Linked DNA regions of Bombyx mori. The protein of the gene in region 1 purifies or fractionates together with the protein of each later gene. This does not show direct contact. Links are inferred from orthologs where the notes say so. Each region holds a gene or a part of one and is shown on either strand. Other genes may lie near its edges. The genes, in order: cap-specific mRNA (nucleoside-2'-O-)-methyltransferase 1 and putative pre-mRNA-splicing factor ATP-dependent RNA helicase PRP1.

Region 1 (3,836 bases):
ATATTTTTGTGTGCAACGTTATTTTTACATGAATACCCAAAAGTAGATGATTTTTAATGTGCATCCCCGCTCACACCGGAACAGCTCAACGTATTTAGAAGAAAAATCGATACGAAAATAATTCAATATAAAGAAAACTCATAGAGTGTCACTAAGGTTGAAATGATTCACGTATTGTTCCCTTATTATGACAGCTTAAAAATTTCATTACTACTCAACGAAATACCAGTATATAATCAGTTATTAATTCTAATTCAATCCAACGAAAAGACCTCCAAAACACGTTCTTGACGTCACCTAACGAAATATTCCGCCGCAACATTCTACGCCAATACGAAACAATAATTAATGTTGGTTGCTTCACGAGTTTATGACTCCACAAAATACTGAACCATGTTGTTTTTGGGCTAGAGACCAAATAAATAACATCTACATAGATGCTAAGAGATTAAAATCTAACCTACGACATTTTTAGTAACTTGTGCAACCCATTTATAGCAGTAGCCGTTGCTACTTTATTGAAAAGTACCAAGTTAAAGAAAACCGGGCTCGGGTTTCGTATTTACTAAAAATAACGTTGTATTGCCACTTCAATGAGACGGTCCCTGAGCTTTGGGTCGGGAATTTGGTGACGTCACATGTGTGTAACCGCACATGTAGGTACATATGCGGGTACGAGAGAATCGCACGATATTAACTATTAACGTAGATAGCTATTTTTCTTGGAGAGGGCAGTCAGCTGATCGGCCACAATAGATCATTAAATTTTAGTGTGATGAACGGGTTTTGAAAAGAATTAAATAGAAATAATTTAACAAGTGATGTCATGTAGCTACATTTTAACCATCGTACCAAAACCACATCGCACAACCCCTCGGGAACCGTGTCACTCAAGCGAGTATCTTATTATATTGCGTGTATGCATGATTTTTTTTTAAGTTAAAGAAATTATGAATTTATTGAATTAAAGAAAACAAAAAGTTTACTAGTAATATACTTAAAGCATGTGTGATAGATAAATTAAATATGAATTCTCTGATGTTATTGGCGGTTTCCGTTGTCTATGTTGGCGTACATTAATAAATGAATATGTTTATGTTTTAGTTTGTATTCATAAACCAGTGACTTCCAGACCTGCAAATTCTGAGAGGTACCTGATTTGTCTGTGGAAGAGGTCATGGACCGAGTCAGCAGAACATCACCTTTACACTGTGAACTCGATCCTATGGAACAGTACTAACAGTGATATTGATATTTTAGAACTAGTTCCTATTGACATCATACAGGAAGATACTGAATTTTTCGAATACGTTTACAAGAGTAACTGCATGTTAGTATAATAATTAGATGTCGTAATATTCCAATATTGAATTTATTTGTCTGAACTTTGTTCAATTAACCCGATCCAACTTATTTTTAGTCTCGGCGAAAGGCAAATACAAAATTTACTTAAGATAGCTGCATTTAGCAAACACAAAATTTTGAAAGAAATTTATCAAGCTGAAATGAAAGAACAGTGCTTGCAACTCTGGAATGTAAGTGCTTCAAATTCTCGACCGTACAAATGATGAGTTTACAGTTTCCCTAAGTTATTTGGGTTTTAACGAGCGAGGATAAATATAAAGAATCCGTTTCGGTTACAGTTGCCAGATCAAGTCAGAACTCAACCAAAACGCCTCAATCCCGATGAAACATTAAAAAACATTTTGTCCACATTAAAAACACCCAATCCTCACAGTCTGTTCAATTTCAAAACGAATATATTAAACAAGAAACCTGAATACATAGAGGTGGAAGGTGATTTGACAAATTTCAAGAATGTATACGACTGGCACTTCATGTTCCTGAGCGGCGGTAAAAATAGTCCCGATTTAAAAATATTCATAGGTAAATTAATTTTGTACAATTTCTTTACCAATTTAAAGTAGTGTTCCGAACTTATTAGATTGTATTTCATGTACAGGTTGCGGTGGAAAACAAGTTTTTCAACTAGAATCAAGCGGATGGAGAAGCGTTTTAGATTTGCAAATAACACTACCAGCTAAAACATTGGTTTACGGAGAAGTATGTTTTAAATGAGTTGCCATTACCTATTCATCTATCTATACTAAATTCTAAAAGAAATCTTTGTACTCAGGTACATCGGACTCCAATTCATTAATTTTTGATGTTTACCACGATTTTTTATTAGTTTGGTTTTGTATTTGTCTGCATCACGATTATGTAACATATTAACAAACCATTGTTTTTTTTATGAAATGTCAATAACAAATTAAAAGCGATATTTTAATACATATAACTAATCTGAATCTTTAATATCTTCGATTCTAAGGTGGAAATTTGATCACTGAGCGAAGACTAATTATATAAAAAATACATTTAAGAATACCGTAATCAATCAGTAAATATTTAATTATGTTAACTATTTTTTTTAAACAGTTTTTTTTTATATAAAAGAAGAAATAAACCCTATTCTGTTTTATTTTGTTTTCAACAATTTTGCAAAAGTATTTCATGAAGTTCGATATGCCTCCTTATCTTAAAAGGTCTGCCTCACTCACAATCGTTGCCTTCACATCAAATTCCATGTTGGAGAAAATAGTAATATCGTCTTTTCTTACTATCACTAACCTGGGGGTTTATTATTATTACAGCCATAAAAATGCTAACTTTCGCTGTTATAGATTGTTAAAGAATATCGTGGCCAAGGCAACAATCAGATGTACAGCAAATCTTTACATATTGTGGACGCACTTATGTTGGGAGGAGTTGATATCTCTGGATACCCCTTGAATGAAAGGTTAGTATTTGATTATACACACACATGCACATTCATGCGAATTTAATCGCGTTCTTATATATATAAATATATGCACAATAATTAAGCAAATATCTATAGTAGAATTATTTTGTCCGTGCAGTTTGGGTCATAAAAAATCGGAGCGGTGAAGCGAGTATTTCGCTCTCTTTCACTCACGAGTCTTATGGACGGGCATAGTAATGCGCATTATTGTTGTCGATAAACGCTATCGATAGTGTATTTAGTTTTGTCATTTTGTGGGTTAGTGATAAAAATGAAAGAAAAAATCACTAATCGAACCGTTACACCACATATCGTCGCAGCAAGTTAACGAGAACGGCAGAAATTAACACTTTGTAACTTTTCGAGATCCATTCTCATTTCAGTGAAAATTTTTAACACATTATTGATAATAACACTTGCTTGTGCAAGCAGATTCAGAGATTCAGAGAGCGAATGCACAAAATCACATTTCTCTTCGACGTACTATAATTTGCAGGTAGGTACAACAAATGACTCATAACTTAACAATGTCTCATCACCCTTCGTGTACCACCCCGCCGCCGTGTACCTGCCTTCGATACTCATTTTTTTTATCGATAATGGCGTTGCGCCCGCGCAACATGCTCACCGCCCTAGCCGAGCTATGTTTTATGACCCAAACTGCACGGACAAAATAATTCTATAGTTGATTCATGTAGTATATTTATTTTAGCACAATTTTCTTGTAATTGTAATAATTGTTCGTTTCCGAGGTAACCAAACACCCAATTTTGGATTTTTACAAACATTTCATTTTTTACAACAACTATTAAAATGTTGCACGTGAACTGCAAACCGGAGTAAATACTATTCACGAAATATTAATTTACAAAAACGATAAGTCATTATTACTATTTTATACCTAGTTTATTTATTTTTCTACTTTCTTTAGACTTCCAATAGGCGTGTTCCAGGAACACAAGGGTTTTAGAAGTTTCTTATAATATTTGAACAGGTACACACCTAATGATATGATTTTTCAGGATAAACCAAT
Region 2 (3,836 bases), on another chromosome or scaffold:
TTGCTAAGAGAGGCTATGTCTGACCCAATGCTAGAACAATATAGAGTTATACTCCTCGATGAAGCCCACGAAAGGACACTTGCAACAGATATCCTGATGGGTGTTCTCAAAGAAGTCATAAAACAGAGGTCCGATTTGAAACTCGTTATTATGTCAGCCACATTAGATGCTGGAAAGTTCCAGCATTATTTTGACAATGCTCCATTAATGAACATTCCTGGTCGGACTCATCCGGTAGAAATATTTTACACTCCACAACCTGAACGAGATTACCTAGAAGCTGCGATAAGGACTGTAATACAAATCCATATGTGTGAAGAGATCTCTGGTGATATACTACTATTTTTAACTGGACAAGAGGAGATTGAGGATGCTTGTAAGAGAATTAAAAGAGAAATAGACAATCTGGGAACTGATGCAGGAGAGCTAAAGTGCATACCGTTATATTCAACATTGCCGCCAAATTTACAGCAACGGATCTTTGAGCCGGCACCTCCAAATCGACCAAACGGAGCCATCGGCAGGAAGGTGGTAGTGTCCACAAACATCGCTGAAACATCTCTGACTATTGATGGTGTTGTTTTTGTCATTGACCCAGGTTTTGCGAAACAAAAAGTTTATAATCCCCGTATAAGGGTGGAATCGTTATTGGTTTCTCCGATAAGTAAAGCATCAGCCCAACAGAGAGCGGGGAGGGCCGGCAGAACTAGACCTGGGAAGTGCTTCCGGTTATATACTGAGAAAGCATACAAGGATGAAATGCAGGACAATACTTATCCTGAGATTTTGAGGTAATTTTTATAACGGTTTGTATGTGACTACCGTTTCGAATGTAGTGAGTAAATACTGTATTTATTTCTATACTAACAGTTGTAATGTTCAATTATTATTCTTATATAATAACAAGATAAGCTCTGTTTGTCTATATTTTATAGCTTTTCATGTGCATCATTATTTCTGTCTGATTGGGTGTGGTCACTGTCAATTGCTGAGAATCATCACTTTATATTACTGTCAATTGTGTATAAAGTTTACTTGTTGTTTAGTAGTCCAAATAAAAATGTATGTGCTATAAAATCATTAATTGTGACGAATCTTGGATATTTTTTCCAAAATAGGTTTACGTCATAGAAACAACAAGCTAGCTATATAGGCTATATATAGTTTCTAGAATATATTTTCATACAAGTCGGTGTAGTGGGCAGAGCACGACAATGTTTCTCTACTCTAATATAATTTTGAATGGGTTACAATTCGCGGTATAAGAATCAGACCAAACGCATACCCACAAAAAAAAAATTTTTTTTTTCATGAAACTGTTCAAAATATAGTATTTTATGAATTGCCAAAACGACGTAATGGTATAGTTGATATTTAACAAATTCCAAAACAACTAAAAAGCCTAAGAATCACTTTCAATGGAACCAGAAAAATGTATGGAATTTGGTATGAAACGAGAAAAATTGAGAATTTTTTCCTGACTTTATCTGACTCTTACACAGCGAATTACACTAACATAGTTCTAGAAGCTAACACCCTAAATATCTCAGCTATTGAATGGGTGAAGTCTAAGAGTACTGTTACTGTCATGTCAATATGCTAAAATCACACCCCCTTTAAGTTTGTCCTGTTCGGGTAATGAAGTGAGTTGTAATCTAATAATACGACTGCGTTGCCCGTTCCAGATCAAACTTAGGATCTGTAGTTTTGCAGTTGAAGAAGTTGGGCATCGATGACCTGGTGCATTTCGATTTCATGGATCCACCGGCTCCGGAGACACTCATGCGGGCGCTCGAGCTGCTCAACTATCTGGCTGCGCTGGGTGAGCTTGTGCTGTATATTGTTTTTGAAATTACTTTAGAAGCGTTCATGGATTATTGTAACTAGAGTTGCCACGAATAGTGATTTGGCCGAATACCGAATATTCGGCAACGCTGTTGGCGGAAGCGCCGAATATTCGGCACAAAGTACATGCTAGTTAGTCGAGCGCGTAAAGAATAATATGACCGGTTGGGACCTGTCTCCATCGTGTGCGGGCGGTGTCCGGCCATTAGACTGTTTCAGTTGCGAGTAAATCACGTCACGGCACGCTTTGTCAGATCAATATAAATGAAACATTACGATTTTGTAGAAAACTTTTATCGTCAGTTCTTTTTCAATTGTTGTTCATTAAAAAATGACACCAATTAATAAAAAATCGGCCATATGGGAATATTATGAGATTTGTAATGAAAATAATAAACAAAAATCATTATTCGAGTTTTTTGACGAAACATGATTTGAGACCTGCCCTTCATTTTTCGGTATTGGGCCGAATAGTACCTATTATTTGGCCCAATACCGAATACCAAACAAAGTGGCCGAATAGGCCGACTACCGAATATTCGTGGCATGTCTAATTGTAACGTCACTAAAAAAGGCAAAGACAAAACAATCATAATATACCATTTGTCTATTCTTTTTGTGGTTTTTCTTAAGCTTTCGTAAGGATACTGTTAGTAATAAATAAAAGTTGGAAATACTTAGCCTTACTTACTTCATGAAGAAATGACAATAACAAAACAAAAGACAGAAATGTAATGGAATTTTGACCATTCAATGGATTTATAGATGTATGCAGTGAGGACAGACCTATGCAGGCTCTGCATGGCCTGCCATGAATTAAGTTTTTTTGCTTAAATCTGTGGGCGTCTATCACCCACCTGATGTTAAGTGGCTACCAGAGCCCTCAGCCATCAATAACGTAAATTTCGCCATCTACATTGAGACATGAGTTCTGAGTATACGTTTTACAGTACAATGGCTGCCTTCGAACCGGAACACATTACTGCTTCACGGCAGAAATAGTCATGGTCGTGGTATCTACTCGCGTGAGCTCACAAGACGACCTAACACCAGTCGAGACAGATGGGTTATTATTCATGATGTTCATTTGTCATTTGATTCTCCACAGATGATGACGGTAACCTCACTGACCTGGGTGCTGTGATGGCGGAGTTCCCCCTCGACCCACAGCTGGCCAAGATGCTGATAGCCAGCTGCAATCACAACTGTTCCAACGAGATCCTCTCCATCACTGCCATGCTGTCAGGTAGGATGTTCCATATCTGTGCTTACAGATAGCGTGGTCATCGTTCTCGTCGAACCCGTCGCTTGCGACGAAGGGCTCGACGAGTAAATTAACCCACAGACACAGCCCACTGAGTTTCTCGCCGGATCTTCTCAGTGGGTCGCGTTTTCAATCCGGTGGTAGATTCTGCGAAGCACGGCTCTTGCTAGGGTTCGTGTTAGCAACGACGTCAGGTTTGAGCCCCGTGAGCTCACCTACTAGTTAAGGTTACACTGAAATAGCCTCTCAAGGGTCTCAGCTTAGGTAGGAAAAAAAACCCAGATAGTATTTGACTTGCTTTAAGTGATTTCTTGTTGGGTATACGATACTGTCTGTTTATTTAAAGAAAAAATCACAAGCCACACTTCACTAGTTTGTTTTAATAGAAATTAATTTTAATAAATTGTCCAACTCCTGAACTGGGGGTAGCCTCAATATCTACAGACTTTTAACTTGGAGAATATACTGGGCAACTAGGTCAAAATGCTGAAACTACAATATATCGAATAAGGATGATGCGATTACAATTGCAAATAAGACAAGCATCATGTAGCTGAATGCACCATAAGCTCATAGAAATAATTTGTTTGATACGATATTGTATAAGTAATGGTTACATGGCTCATCGATGGAGCATGAGACAAAAAATTGTTGAAGAGTGCGGAGTTGAGTGACCCCTCCCAGCACTGACGCTTCCTCACCACATTTGTCATAAAACTAGGGGCCT

Evidence for each region.
Region 2: the proteins of cap-specific mRNA (nucleoside-2'-O-)-methyltransferase 1 (region 1) and putative pre-mRNA-splicing factor ATP-dependent RNA helicase PRP1 purify together in Homo sapiens (co-immunoprecipitation; 3 studies listed by BioGRID and IntAct, with this or other methods). This does not show direct contact. The link is inferred for Bombyx mori from reciprocal best matches to the Homo sapiens genes CMTR1 and DHX15.

What each region holds. Positions count from the first base shown.
Region 1 is NC_085114.1:10,493,925-10,497,760, reverse strand, and holds part of cap-specific mRNA (nucleoside-2'-O-)-methyltransferase 1, read left to right. Parts: intron 1-1,104; coding exon 1,105-1,330; intron 1,331-1,420; coding exon 1,421-1,535; intron 1,536-1,643; coding exon 1,644-1,887; intron 1,888-1,963; coding exon 1,964-2,064; intron 2,065-2,684; coding exon 2,685-2,800; intron 2,801-3,825; coding exon 3,826-3,836. UniProt on the Homo sapiens protein: S-adenosyl-L-methionine-dependent methyltransferase that mediates mRNA cap1 2'-O-ribose methylation to the 5'-cap structure of mRNAs.
Region 2 is NC_085130.1:9,705,745-9,709,580, forward strand, and holds part of putative pre-mRNA-splicing factor ATP-dependent RNA helicase PRP1, read left to right. Parts: coding exon 1-791; intron 792-1,685; coding exon 1,686-1,822; intron 1,823-2,953; coding exon 2,954-3,091; intron 3,092-3,836.